Linked DNA regions of Drosophila melanogaster. The protein of the gene in region 2 interacts with the protein of the main gene of each other region in a pairwise test. Each region holds a gene or a part of one and is shown on either strand. Other genes may lie near its edges.

Region 1 (8,999 bases), 7.8 Mb from region 2:
ACAAATTGGTATTAGCAAGCTAAATAAAATACTTTAAAACATAAACAGATAGATTAACGAAGTGGATTACAAATATTTTGATGAGCTTAGTATATGTTTTAATGATCTTCTGAAAGTTTAGGCACATTTTTGATAATTAAAATGAAAAAAACCGGCTACTAAAAATATATCTGTTAAATATCAAGAAATACGTATACTTTAGATAAGACCTACAACTATTTATAAGTTACGGAAGCCTATAATTAGCGAAACTTAGTCGTAAGCTTAATTTCACGTGCACTTTTTTCCGAAAGAGAACCATGAAGAAGGCTAACATTCGATTGTACTTAAAGTTATGGTTCAAGTTTTGTATATATGTATGTATAAACTTATATCCAGATCGATCTTAGATAATTAGCTATGCGCCTATATATCAATGTATCTTTGTATGTATGTATATCGCAATTTATACATTCATGCAAAATACTAAAGCTAAGAGCGCTTTATCACCTTAGTTCTTTTGTTAAAGTCTTTTTTAATTTACAACCCTAATTTTGAAACGATATGACATTCTGTATGTATGTATATCATAGGACTTACTGTATATAGTGTGCATAAATACATATAATTGTTTGTAATAGCAGCAAAAACATTGAATCAATTACCGTTAACTAGCGGTCCTGCCGTCTGAGGAACGACGGTCTACAAAGTGACGCCCCAATAAGTTAATTTACCACCCATGATCTTTTTAATGCACTTGAAACCTTCCATTGGATGCAAGAGTAGAAAACGTGGTAAGAGGGGTGTGTGGGCGGACAGGAAAACAATTAACGTACCGAAACTAAAATTGGCACATTTCCGTTATGGGTCGCCAGACTTAAGACTCTGTACGCGGGAAAGGGACGTCGATAGTAACGCTCGGACGGTAAACAGTAATAAAATAACGGTGCTCAGTGGGTGGTGAAGTCGGCTGATGCGACGAGAGGGGGCTTGTAAGTGTGAGTGAGTGAGGGTGGCTGGGGTCTTAGCAATAATTAAGTAAAAAATTGTAGTTGGGGGAACTCTCTCCTCTTCGGTGTCGAGTTAAGCTTGTTTATTATGTTTGATTAGTCAGGATTTCGTATTTTGGGTAGGTCGCAGGATGTTAAGCTCTTCCACAAACTCCAAAACATCGATTTGTTCGAAGCAGTGCAAGATTCTGAACTGAGTTTCAAAACCTTCTCTGTCAATCAAGCCCGCGTGTCAGTGTGTTTGTTTAAACACAACATTTCGGAAAAAGTTCTAATGCAAGTTCTAATAAAACTTTTCACTTCCTCGGGAATCCTTTCTATTGTACAATTATTCTTTTTTATTTTTTATTCAATTTGCAATCGATGTACCTGTGTTTAACTGAAGTGGTTAAATGTTACCGGTAGATAATTGAGACAGTAGAGTACTGTTACCAAGAAAAAACAAGTTTATTTTTGGTGAATTTCGCATATAAATACATTTATGTATATACATACAGATATGTTTTATACTTAAGTGAAAAGCCTAGAAGGAATAGCTGAAAATCTGCAATTAAGCGAAGATATCGAAATTAATTCTGAGCGGGGTCTATATAGCAATATTCTTAAGCGAAGTGCTTTTTAATCGTACAGATTGGAGAACATTAAAAATTCTGTTACGATTGTGCTAAATATACGCAAAGTAGGACGAAATATATTCGTAAATAAAACTCGCAATATAGATGTGTAGCTCCATAGGTGTGCAATGTAAATGAACAGGAAGAGACTCATATAATATATTTAATGTTATATAGAAATACCCCAAAGGATCAAATATTAATTCAAAAATTAGAAACGTTTTCCCAGTGCTGTAAATTATATGAGAAGCCTATTTTGAAGAGCATTTGCTTAGTACAAGTGAAGAAAAGTATATGAATATTTAAATAAGTAATGATAAAAATAACAAATTCATAATTATATGGAATCTGTAATATGTATACATAATATAATAATATAATATGTATACATTCTCACGTTTAAAGCAAAGATTATTTAATAAAGTAAAGAATAAACCGGAACTCCAACACTTTTGAAAAATTCTGTGATAATTCTTCATATTTTTATTAGTCTTGTAAATTACTATGGATTTGCCAAAAAACTTTTTGCCTCGCCTACTTCAACGTCCAAAGACCGCCCAAAACTGCCACACCTACACTTTTAAAATATTTTTAGAATTTTCCGTTTTATTATTTGTCTTGCCAAGTTTTATCGGTATACAAAACAATGTGGCCACGACCCTTCTTTCACCTACAAAACGAACAAAACTGTCACGCCAATAATTTTTAAATTTTTTCTCATTTTATTCACCAAAATCAATCGATATCCTGGAAAAATTATAAAATTTGGCGATCGAATTTCCACTAGCCGAGTAAAGGGTATCTGATGAGCGGGAAATCGAGTATAACATTTTCTCTTGTTTACATATATCCTTTTACACTTTTACCACTTTTCATCCCCAAGCATCAAATTTTTCAAAGTCCTGGTATGAATACAGAAAAAATCCTATGATATACTCTTTTAATGGGCAAAATGTATTTATAATATCATTAGGTTTTTAATTTAAAACCATTCAACAATGGTTCACTTCTATTTTACCCATTACTCGTAGAGTAAATGGGTATACAATATTGGTTGAAAAGTATGTAACAGGCAGAAGGAAGCGTTTCCGACTATATAATTTATATATATTCTTGATCAAGATCAAAAGCCGAGTTGATCTAGCCATGTCCGTGTTGCCACGCCCACAAGAATCACAAAATTTCCAAGCCCACGTGTAACGTGTAACGTGTAATATAACATAAACCGATTCCACCTTATTCTTGCCAAGAAGGTTGGTTTAAGGGCTAAATCAAAAGCAAAAGGAGAGCTAAAACACGGTGGAAATTTTTTAAAGCGTTGTTGAGTAGAGAACGTGCTAAGTTATATATATTTCATAAACCACCGCGAAAGCGAAGAGGATTTATCTAATGGGAGGAAGGTATATATATCATGTAAATGTTCCTGATTCTCTTTTCTTGATCGGAATCTCCAGACGACTCTATATGCCTATGTCCGACTGCATTCGTTTTCTTGGCATTTCATTTGATGTCATCAGGGACTTATGTATATGCAAAAATTGAATACAATCCTGTTTTAATTTTCACTACAAACATAGTTTTATGACAGTAATCGAATCTCCTTTTAGCTAAACTTAACATTGCTTCTTTTATAATCAATCTGGGTTATACAATTTTTATCTACGATTCGAATCCAGTCTACTTTAGTAAAAAATTATGGCAACTCCCGACTTCTGTATACTGCAGTATGGCAGCTCCCGAACTGTGTAGATGTTGGTATGGCAACTCAAAATCACCTGCAATTGCTACTGAACATTCATATTAAACATAATTACGAAAAGACCAACATTAAAATAGCGTTTGTATTCGGCAATACAAGATTTATTGCTGAGAGGGGAAAAAGCGGTTCTAGCATCAACACGTAATAAAAAGAAAATTAACCAAAATTGATTTTCTTGAAATAATGTTTCCAGCACCGGGATAAGATAACAAATAGTGGAGTCATTCAGCAATCGTTGATTGGCGTGAGGTATCGATGACCATGCGCTATCGATACCTCCGTTGGAATTATCACATCGTAGCTCTACTGTTTGTCAAGTCTCACTTGAAAACATCCATCGAAAGTGCTGTTGTTCTGATTAGAGCGCGGGTGCGAGTTAATCAAGCGAACCGTTGCGTCCTGGTCCTAAATTTGAAAGGTATAAATATTTGGGTGAAACCAATCAGCTGCAATAGATGATGCGGTCCCTTGCGCCATACAAATTGGTATTAGTATTGCCCTAGAGGAGTAATTGTGTGTATGTATGTTGGTGGGAGAGTGGAAAGTGGTTTAAGTGAGGGATGCGACCGAACAATATGCACTTCTCCCTGTGCTACCTGAGATCTAGAGTGTGGAGAGTGATTCTGTTGACTAGTTTGCGTGCTTGCGGCAAGCAGGAGCTGCGGTCCGGTGTGATACATGCCTCGCGAAGTTGCTCCAAGTCGTAGTGGATGGTGCTCCAGGTGCTGGGATGCGCCTAATTGGAGATACACAAACGGTCAGTCAAAAGCTCGTGAAGTGTGGGTAATGCCTATATATATCCGCCACCCGCCTACAAGCGGGTTCCGGAAGTAGGCGACGGCACGCAACCATCAACCAGAAGCATCATTATGCACACATGCAGCTGGACATGGGGAAATCCTCTCAATAAAGCCGCTAGGCGGACATTGATTCATATGTTAATACACGTGTATGAATATGACAATTGGTGAGAGCGGGAACCACCAGTTACGCACAGTGGCCAGATCGCACTAGCGCACTATTCGTCAAGGAGTCAGGATTTGGTTGTCGTCTCAAATAAATAGCTAACTTTGTTAGAGATAAATGGTTAGGTTTAATCAAACTAATCGTTTAATTTCAAGGTAACATAAACTCATATTTTGCTTAAACTAAAAACGGTTTAATATAAATAAGTCTGACAGGACCGTAAAACTGCTCTCCAAATTCGGTCGTCTGGTACCTGGGCGCAAATCAATTAAGGAACTATTAACTCAGCAATGGGAACACTACCAAACACTGTACAATGTAGTAGCAATATTAAATATAATAATATAATAATAAACATGGATGCTTGCTTCTGCAAGCTAAAGTATTTAAAAAGTATTAGAAATGGTCGGTAATCGTAGAGTAAGAATTCACTTAAAAGGATGTTACAGGTAGAAGAACGCTTTTTCCACCTTATAAAGTATTTCTGTATGTATTAACACTTAACACATACGTATATCCAAACTGGTTTATTACGCAGTACTAAGAAATATACGGCTGACGTGTGTATTTTACCCTACATTGTCATCCGTGTGGCAGGTGTAGCCACTTTTTACGCAGCTGACACTATTTCTAAGCTATCGATTTTGTCTTCTATTCCTTTCCCATTGCTTTGAATGCCGATACTTGGCCTATTGCTGGTGGTGGGGTGGCACTAATAATTTAAAAACCGACCTATTTCAGTGCAGAGTTCAAACTCATTCAAACTACACAACTATTACAGCAAGCGCAATATACATACATATGTATGTATGTACATATGTATTCCTGTCCTTCCTAGTTTTCGTTCTCCATGTCCGTCCGTATGAAGGTGGAGATCTGAGGAACTATAAAACCTACAATATTGAGATTAAGCATATAGATTTCAGAGGCATAGTTTGTTTACTCATGTTGCTACGCCCACAAACCCTGCCAAAGCTGCCACGCCCACACCATTGGAAAATGTGTTGATATTTATATATCCGTTACTCGTAGAGTCAAAGGTTATGATCAGGATCAATAGCCGAGTCTATATGTCCCTGTCTGTCTGCTCGAATGTCTATGCGTCCATATGAACGCCGAGATCTCAAAAACTATAAAAGCTAGAAGGTTGAGATTAAGCATAAAGATTCTAGAGACATAGGCGCAGTGCAAGTTTATTTCAAATCACCCAAAACCGGTACGCCCACTGTTTGTTTTGATATATTTTCCTATTTTTATACCCGTTACTCAGATTAAAAGGTGATACTAGATTCGTTGAAAAGTGTTTCCGACCAAATCAAGTATATATATCCTTGATCAGGATCCATAGCCGAGTCAATCTGGACATGAAAGTCGAGACCTCAGGAACTATAAAAGCTAAAAGGCATACAGATTCTAGAAACATAGACGGAGCGCAAGTTTGACCCATGTTGCCACACTCACTCTAACGCCACGCCTACACTTTTGAAAAATGTGTTGATATTTGTTCACATATGTATTAGTCTTGTAAATTTTATCGATTTTGCCAAAAACGTTTTTGCCACGCCCACTCAAACCGCACAACCGGTCACGCCCACACTTTTGAACAATTTTTAAATTTTTTTTCATTTTATTTCCCAATATCTCTTGATATCCCAAAATAAATGATACTTTCGCGTTCTCATTCACACTAGCTGAGTAACGGGTATCTGATAGTCGGGGAACTCGACTATTCTCGCATTCTCTCTTGTTAGTTTTGTAAATTTCTGTCGATTTGATAAAAAACTTTTTGCAATGCCCACTCTAACGCACAAAACCCGCCGAATCCTGTCGCGAACCCACTTTTGGAAAATATTTCGATCTTTTTTCATATTTTTAATAGTCTTTTCTTTCCAAATTCTATCGATATGCCAACAAGGATGTTAAATGCTTAAGCTGAGTAACGGGTATCTGATATTCGAGGAACTCGTTCATTCTTGCTTTTTAAATTCATTTAACAGTTTTTTAATGCAAAATTTGTTTAAATTAATGTATTTTGTATATACTCGTAATAGTTGACATTGTAAAGGTTCGGTAAAGTTGTACATTGAAATAACTCCGGAAAAAAGTTTTTAAAACTTCTTCAATACAGGAAATCCATATCGTTAGCCGGGAATAGCTTACACATACAGAATAACATACAGGAATAATGAAAAGACCGGTGTGTTTGAATCTTGTTCTATGATTATCACTTTAACAGAGTACGGATAAAAATGAATACTAAACGTATACGAGCTTAAATAGCGTTAGGCAGTTGGTTTATTTTTCTTCGCGTCTTATAGCATGTAGTATGTGCATATATCGAGGGTACACTGTACCTATAAGTACACAGCAACACTTAGTTGCATTGCATAAATAAATGTCTCAAGTGAGCGTGATATAAGATCACCCATTTATGCTTTAAGCTAAGTCAGCATCCCCACGCTGGCCGCTGGCCATATATGCGCATAAGCTCTCTCTCTCTCTCTCTTATACATATATATATACGCTGCTCTTCTGCCGCTGTCGACGGCGGCGCAGTCGCAGTATTTAGGTAAGATTAGACACTCTGTAGAGGTTAAGCGGGCAGAACCGTTTCTGCTACTCGAAGAGATAAGAAGAAATAAAAAGGTGGCCTGACGGCTGCACCCAACTGCAAGGAAAACACGTGTTCTCAATTGGTGGCATATATTGGTTTATTACATGGCGACCGTGAGGCAGGAGCCTGCGATCTGAGGACTACTGAGGAAATGCTGCTAATATTGCCGATTTGATTTGGGAATTCTAAACAGCGACAACAGGTGTGAGAGGCAGGCCGCCCCTTACACCAGTGCGGGAGACCTAGAGACGGGACACTGATGAAAAAAAAAAAGAAACAAAAATACTGAGTGAGTAGAGTGTGGTAATGGGCAAACGCGGATGTCAGGAAATCAAAAATAAAGGTATAGCACATATTAAGTGGCTATGATATACAAATAAAACACCGCCCCCATGGGCAACGGCACAGAAATTAACTGCCGAATTAGACTTTCTGAAAGAAAACCTCCAGCAAAGAAAGCCGAATACCACAACTCACTCAGCAAAAATAGAAATAATCAATGAAGAAATAACTGAAAATTCAACATCACCCAAGCCGAAAAGACCCGACGTCTGCATGAACGACTGCCCTCGACCATTGTAAGCCGCAACAGCAATTAGCACGGCATCCTGCGAGGGTAGGATTAGGATAAAGGATAAAGGATTCCACCGGCGCGCCGCACATGACAACAGCGAATGTCTACCAAGCAGACGTTCGAACACCCTGCTCCTGTCGAGCAAAGGGATCTGCCAAGTATCAAAGAGGTAATAGAGGTAGATCCGTCCGCGGGACCAAAGCCCTTGACCATACAAGAGTACAAGGCACGGACTGCAGCGAGGGAGCAGCCACCTAAAAAGAAGAGGGGTGGCCGCCGGATTAAGTTGCTCAGCGCCCGGAGGCTCAACATCGAACTACTGAAGACGGCAACTAATGAGGAAGACCGGCAGCGCTACAAAGAGCGCCTTGCAGCCATCAATCAACAACTTCGTGGTGCGAAGTAAAGCGGCGGGCTGCGTTATACGCCATAGCCTCAACCGCCCAAATATTATATTAATGTTGTCGATGCGGTTTCCGCTGCAACAAAATTACTAACTTATCAGGGACCCATTTCATAACTAACACATTATACTCAGTCCTAAACTTAAAATAAGTAATAATATTGTAAAATTGCAAATTGCAACCGATGTAAACTGAGTATAATGAATTCATCTATCAAGTAAAAATATGTTTAACAACAGTTTAGACCTATTAAAATTTCGAGCTATATTTATATCTGATCGAGATAACAATAATTGACCAATTCTCAAAGTTAAAATTCTATTTGTACTTTTGATATACAAATAAAGACTAATTTTCCCCATATCAAAATGGGACATAAGTCGTGGATACAACCCCACAGTTAAATTCAATGTACTTACTATTTTTGATTTTAGTTATCCTATCAGCCTTTTAACCTGGCCTTAAAACTTTATCAGTTTCACAAAAGATCGTTGAAAAGACTTACATGAGTCGAGCCAATGATTTAGACAAAATCTAATAGAAACTACACCAAAAAGGTACAAGTGCGATTACATCGCTAAAAGGTACATACATGGAATGGCTAAACTTAACCATATCCATAAACAATATTAGAGATGCTTTTGATAAATCCTATAAATGTATTAATAAAACCGCGCTGATCAAAACTCAGACGCTTATTTTTCACATAAAGGTATTGATAACACAATACAACACATTACAAAACCTAATAGTAACAAACAAAAGCAAACTCACTGAAGAACATAAAGTCCAATGCTTCAAAGTTCTCAGTTCATTTGGTAAAAGACTACATAATACCAGCGTTAGACACAGTATTATAATAGAAGTCCCAACAGAACTAACCAAAATAGCAGAATTCGACGAAAGCCAGTTAAGAGACTTGGACGAGTCGCAGCCGTTAGAAGATTTAGATATCGAAAGCGATATCGAATCAATAGAAGAATTAAAATTTAATACCGTACAACCAAATACAAGAAACATGGCCAACGCATTAGAAGCTCAGAGAGCATACGTTAAACAGGTATCTGCCACAGTACCTG
Region 2 (7,502 bases):
ATATCGGCAGAGCGAATATTTTCCGTGCCACCGCTCACCGCTAAATGCATTACACTCGAGACCAGCAAAATGATGTCCTGCTTTCGTACGAGCCCCCCCCCCTCCTCATCACTCTTTTTTCTTCTTCCTCTTTTCTTGTCTGGGAGCCAGTGGTCAGCATGTGGCTGGCAGAAAAAGGTCCTTGTGCTGCCATTCGTGCTGCGTAAGCTGCGTTCATTTGTAAACAACATAGTCATCGCTCGAAAACAATAACAAGCCCAGCCAGAAGGACAGCAGCTAAAGTTAGAGTACGTAAGACCTGAATAATTGAATACACTTTGCGAGCTCTGCACAAAAAAAAAAATGTAATTCAGGCAAATTGAGCACGAGAAATAATTTAAAACATTGTACTGTACATGGGATAATACATATCATAATAATTCGAGAGACTCGCATTTCGTAGATAAAATCATAAAATCAGCAATCGCAAATCAGTGGCCGCCTTCTAATCGGAATTTTTCTGCTATCTACAAATTACATTTCCTGCATTTGTACATATGGCATAGACAAAAGCCATGGCAAATTGCGTGGCTTTTGGCTTATATGTACATATGGTTATGCGCAGGGTATGGGAAAAGTAACCAAGGCCAGGACATCAAATAAAGTTAAGCAAACAAGAGCATTAAGTGCATTGATGTTGTTATTGCCGTTGTCCGGGGAACCCAGAAAGCGTTTCCTTTTTATTTTTACTCCTCGCTGGTCCTTCGTGGTCCTTCGTCGATGCCTTTGCCGATTTAAGGAACAACTTCATTAGGCAAGTGCTCGACCGGCTCCAAGCAGCCTGCTGCCTGTCCTTCTATCTCCTTTATCGCCGTCTATTGATTTTCCTATCAATATTTCCATTCCATTTTACTCTCCCTTATCCTGTCTTTTGCACGGTGTTCTCACGGGCATATTGCATTTCGATCAAATAAATATAAATGCCTAATCATTTATGTTTTTTTAAGAACATTAGCAAGCTAAAAACGTATTATATTTTGGTATGAATTAAGCTTACTTAGCCAATTTAACTTATTGTAAATAAGTTGACCTGGCCAGCACCATTTAATGCTTTTTGTAGAATGCTCTCTCCATGCTAAAACACTAAAAGTAATTCTTTACCTGTGTACCAGGTATTTCACGGTCTGGTTACTTGACAATATGACATCCCTATCCCTATCAGTTTTTTCTTTCTCCATTTTCTATTTGCTCGTGATGTTTTTGCTAACAGACACGGCGAAGAGTGTCAAATGCCATTAAATGCCAACTAACCAGCAGCGGGCCATGTCTAAGCGCCAAGTGGCCAGGTGAGAAAATAGCCAGCTACTGATTGCCACAAGGATGGGGAAGCGGCGGGGATCCTTGGTTGGGGATTCACACGGAATTTTACTTACCTCCTGCCGTAGACAAGAGTGGCAAACGTTTTGACAGCCTCTTCAAGCCTTTGGCAGGTGTAAAGCAATTCTATAACTAAACTGAGTCTTTAAAACATCATGGTGTTTAGTGGAAAGAATATAAGGTATTAGTTAACACGATCAATTTGTGTTTGAAATTGTTTTATATGCTTATGAGCTTATTTACTATAACATACAACTTTGAACTATTTAAACTATTAAGACCTAATGATTTATCTTAACAAGGCAAAACTTCAAGCCAGCTCTATCTGTACATCTTGACCAACATCTGAATAACAAGCCAAGAAATTATGAGCTTTATGATAATAATATGACACGACGAAAATCCGCATCTTGCCAGGCGCTAATTGAATGCATGCTGCGCAAGTGGCAATTCCTTCTGCTCCTCCTGCTGCATCCGAAACTGCCGGCTTTGGCCAAGATGATAAACGAGCTGGCCCAGGGTAATAGGAAACAAACAAGCATTAAGGCAAAAATATCTCTAAACAAATATTATTTACGAGCTGGCCAAGCACGAAGCGCAGACTGGAACTTTTGGCAACGGTTAGACGCCTACTATATATGCCCAGTTGCACCATTTGGTTATATAGAGCGATATATATGTACATATATTCATATATATATATAGTTATCGTGCGGCACCGAAAATAATCAGCCACACCTCATAAATCCAAGAAAAAGGCCGACACATTTTCAGGCAGTGTAATCAGGAAGGTTGCCAAAAACGCGCTGGTGACAACAAAGGGTGCGAATTTAATTAACAATAATTTCAAATGAAAACAGCAATTAATCTAGTGAGACACATGTTTTAGATTATGGGATTTACCTAAGCGTAACGGAATCTTTTGGTAAAAGAAATATCCTTAACATTAATATCCTTGCCTAGCATTATGAAATGATTTTCATTAAATATTTATGAACATTAATATATGTCTATGGTCTTTTATTCTTTACCTAACGTAATAATGATTAAATGATTTTACATCTGTTGTTGTGGCCAGCTTTAAAACGCTTTTTGTAAAAATGTTAATTTATAATCGAATGGATTTGCCCACGAAATGCATTCACGAAATTGGCTTTGTTTAAATCCATTATATGAGACGGACAGCACGATCGATTTGCGTGCCCCTCGGTGCCGCCTCAAAGTAGGCAACACAAATAAAGCTTAACATCATGCCGCCGAAGGGGCGAATTGGGAGCTGCGAGCTGGCGGATAAAGGATGGTGGCCACTCAATCCCAGTTGTTCTGCTTCAACACTTTCGCACAAACACCAATCAACTGGCAGATGAATCAAGCGCAGGCGTTGGCTGCCCAGTTAAGCCCACTCCGTAGCACCCACAGTCCACACAGCCCACGTAAACACCATGCCCCCCATCTTCCCGCGCCCTGAATTCAATTTTTTGGACAGGCGACAAAACTGCGCCACAAAGGGGGAAAAGCGGAAGCAGCGGCAAAGCAGGGAGATGCAGTCCATGGCAACAGCATCATCCAAAGGCAAACACACTGGCCGGCACATGCGAGTGGAAAATCAATAACGTGTACGTTTATCTTATTTTCTCGTCGCAGCGTCTGCTGTCGTTTCATTCCCCTTCTTTCAAATATATATAAATATAAATCTTCGGCGCACTTAAGCCTTTTAAATGATAACAATGGCCGGACCAAAAGAACCATTCCTTCCACCTCTGTTCCCTCAACAAGCCAACGAATAAAAAACACGACCACTGAGTAGCAGGTGCGCACTGGACACCAAAGGACTTACTCTACTATAGGACAGCAACGAGAAAAGTTCCACATCCAAGCCCCTTGGATTTTGATTTCCACACTGCAAATGTGCGTACTTGCTTGCCACATGCCACATGTATGTACGTAGCACCCGGACAAGTCGAGATATTCCATGAATTTATTATGTCCCCTCTGCTTTAATAGAGTTTCATCGAAAAGTTTCCCTCGAACAAATTATGAAATATACGGAGACAGCTTTTTGCCATTGAACGGAAATTGTGGTTTAAATCTGGGGGATGAATTTTGATCTAAAGCGAATGTGCACAAAAAAATATATCAGATAATAAAATGGCAGTTTATGTGTGGCCTGAAGCAAAAGTTTTTATCTTATTTTATTTATTGTGTTGGTATATTAAAGTAGTTGTTTGATCTTAAATTTCGGGGTAAATGTTTTTGACCTTGCAACTTCCAATAATTATTAAAATAATTACATATTTAGACGGTTCTTTTTTTGAAAGTCTTTTGAAAGTAAATTCACCAGGCAAGTGAAATCTCAGTTAAGGAGCTACCCTATATTTTGCTTTGGTTCCTAAAATGCACTTATGCAAAATAACATTAGTGCAGTAGACCGTCATAATTGTCATATTAGACAGGAAAATCCATAGACGACAGTCGACCCTGAAGTGTCGATGGACAGCAGCTTCTGGTTTTGCCCGGCCAGACAGGAAAGGAAATTGCTTAATTTAGCGCAAAAATTATCCACTGGCCAACGAGGCTCAATTGCCGGTCTGCCATGGTCGTTTGAGGCAGATGATAAAGCAACCCTTTGCTACGAATTTTTAGCCAGACTGATTTTAAATGACAGAAATGGTAGAAAATAAATTTAACTCACACTCATGATTTTCACACGAAAAACATATTGAATCACAAAGGCAAGGAGCGACTAGAAGAACTCTACATGCTTAGTTCAAAAAGTGACACTTCTGGAGACGATATCTCTATAACTGCACAAGCAGAAAAAAGAGTGGATGATAGCATCAGAGCGCCATCTATTGGCTGGAATGCTGAGCACAAAGATGTTCAGATTCCAAGGGACCAACTAACCCACAGGCAGATCAGCAAGTGCAATTTGTTTGAGGAATACATCAAGCTCCCAAAGAGTGAATATGGACAAACAAGCCGCATGAAGCGATTCCGATCCGAAGAGTTAGCTATTAAGCAAGGTAAGATAAATGTATAATTCCGTTCTTATTGAAGGGCTAACAGCCTTTGATATCTTAACAGAAGATCAAATCGTGGAGCATAGATCATCGAGTCTTTCGCGGCTATCGGATGTCACAATCAAGCCCACCTGCGAGGTGAGTAGTCAGACTTCGTGGACAGCAGCGGACGAGAGTAATATGAATAGCAAGGATTTGGAGGCGAAGCTGGCGGCTGTACGCGGCGGTGGTATCGATCTCGAAACGGACAAGCCCAGCAAGATCCAGCAGCACACGATCCACATCGAGGTGGAGTCGGTGACATCGGCCACGGCTATGCAAAGACCCCCACTGCACCAAAGGATGTGGCAGGTCCTTGTGCAGACGGCGGATACGATTGTCGCATTCGCCTCTATAATCGGCGAGAATTTAACAGTGGCACTCTTCATTGTCCTGTGCCTGTGGTGCCTTTACCTCTTACTAAGCCACTTTTATGGCAACTTGCAGACCAATGTCGGCATGCCGTCCAAATAATTGTAATAAGAATGATTCGTTTTGCACGTGATTGTATGAGTAAAAATGCAGTAAACAGAATTAGCAGAACAGAGTTCCAACCAGCATTGCGCATTCTAATTTATCTCAACATATTGGGTGTGCAACAACACATGATGGCGAGACTACAATATAGTGCCGAAGCGAAATCGGTTAGCATATAGCAAAAACGATCGGCCAGCGGTGGTCGACCTAGTGCATTTGGAATCTGCATGGAAACGGCATCGATGAATATCGTGTGACGTGTCGATTCGCAGGGTGCCAAAGCCGGGGCAAAGTCCACAGGACAAACTCTAATGCGCCGGCGCGGCTGTTCCGTCTGCACGCCGATCGAGTGGATGTCCTTGAGCACATCGCTATCCTTCTTCCTGAAGATCTCAACATCGTCTTCCGAATTTTCTGCGGGTTGATACAGTTATAGTAACTATACTAAATAAATGCGGGTGACATCTGGTTTCACCAAAATGAAACTGTTTATGGATTTATGACAGTAGTGTTATTTTTCAGAGTTTTCAAGGACAACTCCAAGAGACAGTTCCTATCTTTTTTTTATAGATTGGTTTATGCATTATTTTGATATTTTTTACCTTCCGCCAATGCCTTGGACATCCATCCGTACCAATTCCGTTTGTTTGCTCCGCCTAGATTCGATTTTGAATTGGTGCGTACGGTGATCGAGCTGTGTGTTGCAGCCGGATCACTATCTTCCAAATCCTCAAAACATTCGTCGGCTTGAAAGCCCAAAATATCGAAGAGCCGCTGGCAGGTGTTCTTCTGCTCGGACAGTTTGCGGGGCTCGTTAACGGCATCCTGAACCAAATCGCCAATTAGCAAGTTAATGACGATCGCAGTCTGCGGTGGCTCCCTGCACGCCATTAAGTTTACAGCGTCCACAGATCAAATTTGGAAAAGTATCGAAAAATGTCTTACAAGCTACTGAAGTCAACATAATTTCGGCATATACAAAACGATGTTGACAACTATCACACCGGAACTGAATTTATCACTCAAATTTTGTATTAGCTGGTCAAAAAAATTCCCAGTTTTCAACACAACGCAATGGATAATCATATGGATAAGAACGATGAGGACAAGAGGTCGTCATCCCCGGATTCTCAACGTCAAGTTATAATATATATGCCACCCGCCGTTGAACATGGTCATGTTGTGTATCTAAAAGATGCGAATTTAGGCGCCACAGAGACGGAGGCTTCTGCACAACTCGACCCACAGGAGCATCTTTCGAATGCGGATCGGTTGGAGAACAATCGGGTGATTTCAGAGCTGGATGATGAGCCGAGCACGAGTGCTCAGTCCGCAGTTAAGGGTCAGAAATCAGAAGATGATCAGGGTCACCAGACCAAGACAGGTATTTCAAAAATGCCAGGATCTCCTAAGCAGTTGCACAATGTATTGGAAGTAATCTGTCGCTTCTCACGCGAGATTCCTGATGCAATGGAGGGCCGGGAGCAACTCCAGCCGGCAGTGATTGTCCAAATTCCAAAATATCGCGAACTGGGAACCCAGACCGCTGAGTTGCCATCGCAGTCGCAGCGATTGCGTTTGGATCTGACCGACCTGAGACCAGATCCGAATCCACCGCCCTGCGAACGCACGCTGCACACATTCACGATTAGTGGCAACAATCTGCCGGGCAATCCTCGCCAGCTTCGTCAAACGATCTGCGCGCGAATTGGACGCTCCATCTGTGATTTTGTGGCAGCCTTTTGTCTTTGTCTGCAAGTGAACAAGGATTGTGTCTTCTGTCTGGGTTTTTTTGTGGCCTTTGTGATCAGTGCCAGCTTCCTGACTGCCTTCTTCTACCGCACTCTTACCTTCTCCTCGTCGCCGGTGCGAGTGGTGGCCAATCCGGTGAGCGGCACCATGCGCTATGAACTTGCCACACTGCGATTCAACGGAGGGTACTACTACATCTATAATAGCAGCCAACAAAAGCTTCTCTAATCTAATTGGAACTTGAGTTTTATTTTGGTGCGGGTTCTTTAGCTTACATCTTAAATGTGTGATATAATGTTCTGTTAAAAATAGTGATCGAATTCTTATTGAATTTGTAAAAACTTGTATTATAGTTTAATTTTAACAAAGACTTTTTTGTATACGAGTAACACCTTTGGGTATATTCTTGATCAGGATCCCTAGCCGAGTTGATCTAGCCATGTCCGTCCGCATGAACGATATCCTTAGATTTAAAATACATGTTCTGTTTATTTTTAAGCTGCCTCAAACAAAGTCGGGTTGCGAAACTTTGGAAATGCAAGCAAACCGCATGACCAGGTTCAATCAATGGTCTTTCAGCAGTTTTACTGGTTGTCATGGACTCCAAAGTTTGCAGTTCGCTTACGCCGCTGCCGCAATGGTACTGCCTTTCTTCGCCAACTTTTTCTTGATTTTTTTTATATATTTTTTTTTGAGTTTAACTCTAGACAAAAGTCGCTCTGTATAGCGGGTGGCAGAATGGTGCATGAGTGGATGGAGCGAGGATAGACCTTGTCCGGCTTGACTTGACTTGACAATGGGTCACACAAAAAGTCGGCCTCTGGGTACGGGAAATTGGCCACAAAACGTTCGTCGCCT

What was found. Proteins that work in one complex are often made in the same cells at the same time.
Region 1: the proteins of CG16852 (region 2) and Tsp39D interact in a two-hybrid assay, tested with the Drosophila melanogaster proteins (one large-scale study listed by BioGRID).

Annotation. Positions count from the first base shown.
Region 1 is NT_033779.5:21,340,957-21,349,955, forward strand, and holds the start of Tsp39D (tetraspanin 39D), read left to right. Parts: upstream 1-3,650; 5' UTR 3,651-3,780; intron 3,781-8,999.
Region 2 is NT_033779.5:13,536,686-13,544,187, forward strand, and holds CG16852 (uncharacterized protein), read left to right. Parts: upstream 1-4,065; 5' UTR 4,066-4,114; coding exon 4,115-4,379; intron 4,380-4,440; coding exon 4,441-4,889; 3' UTR 4,890-4,961; downstream 4,962-7,502. Other genes in the region: CG9263 (uncharacterized protein), read right to left, coding at 4,990-5,306, 5,495-5,783; CG16853 (uncharacterized protein), read left to right, coding at 5,967-6,872.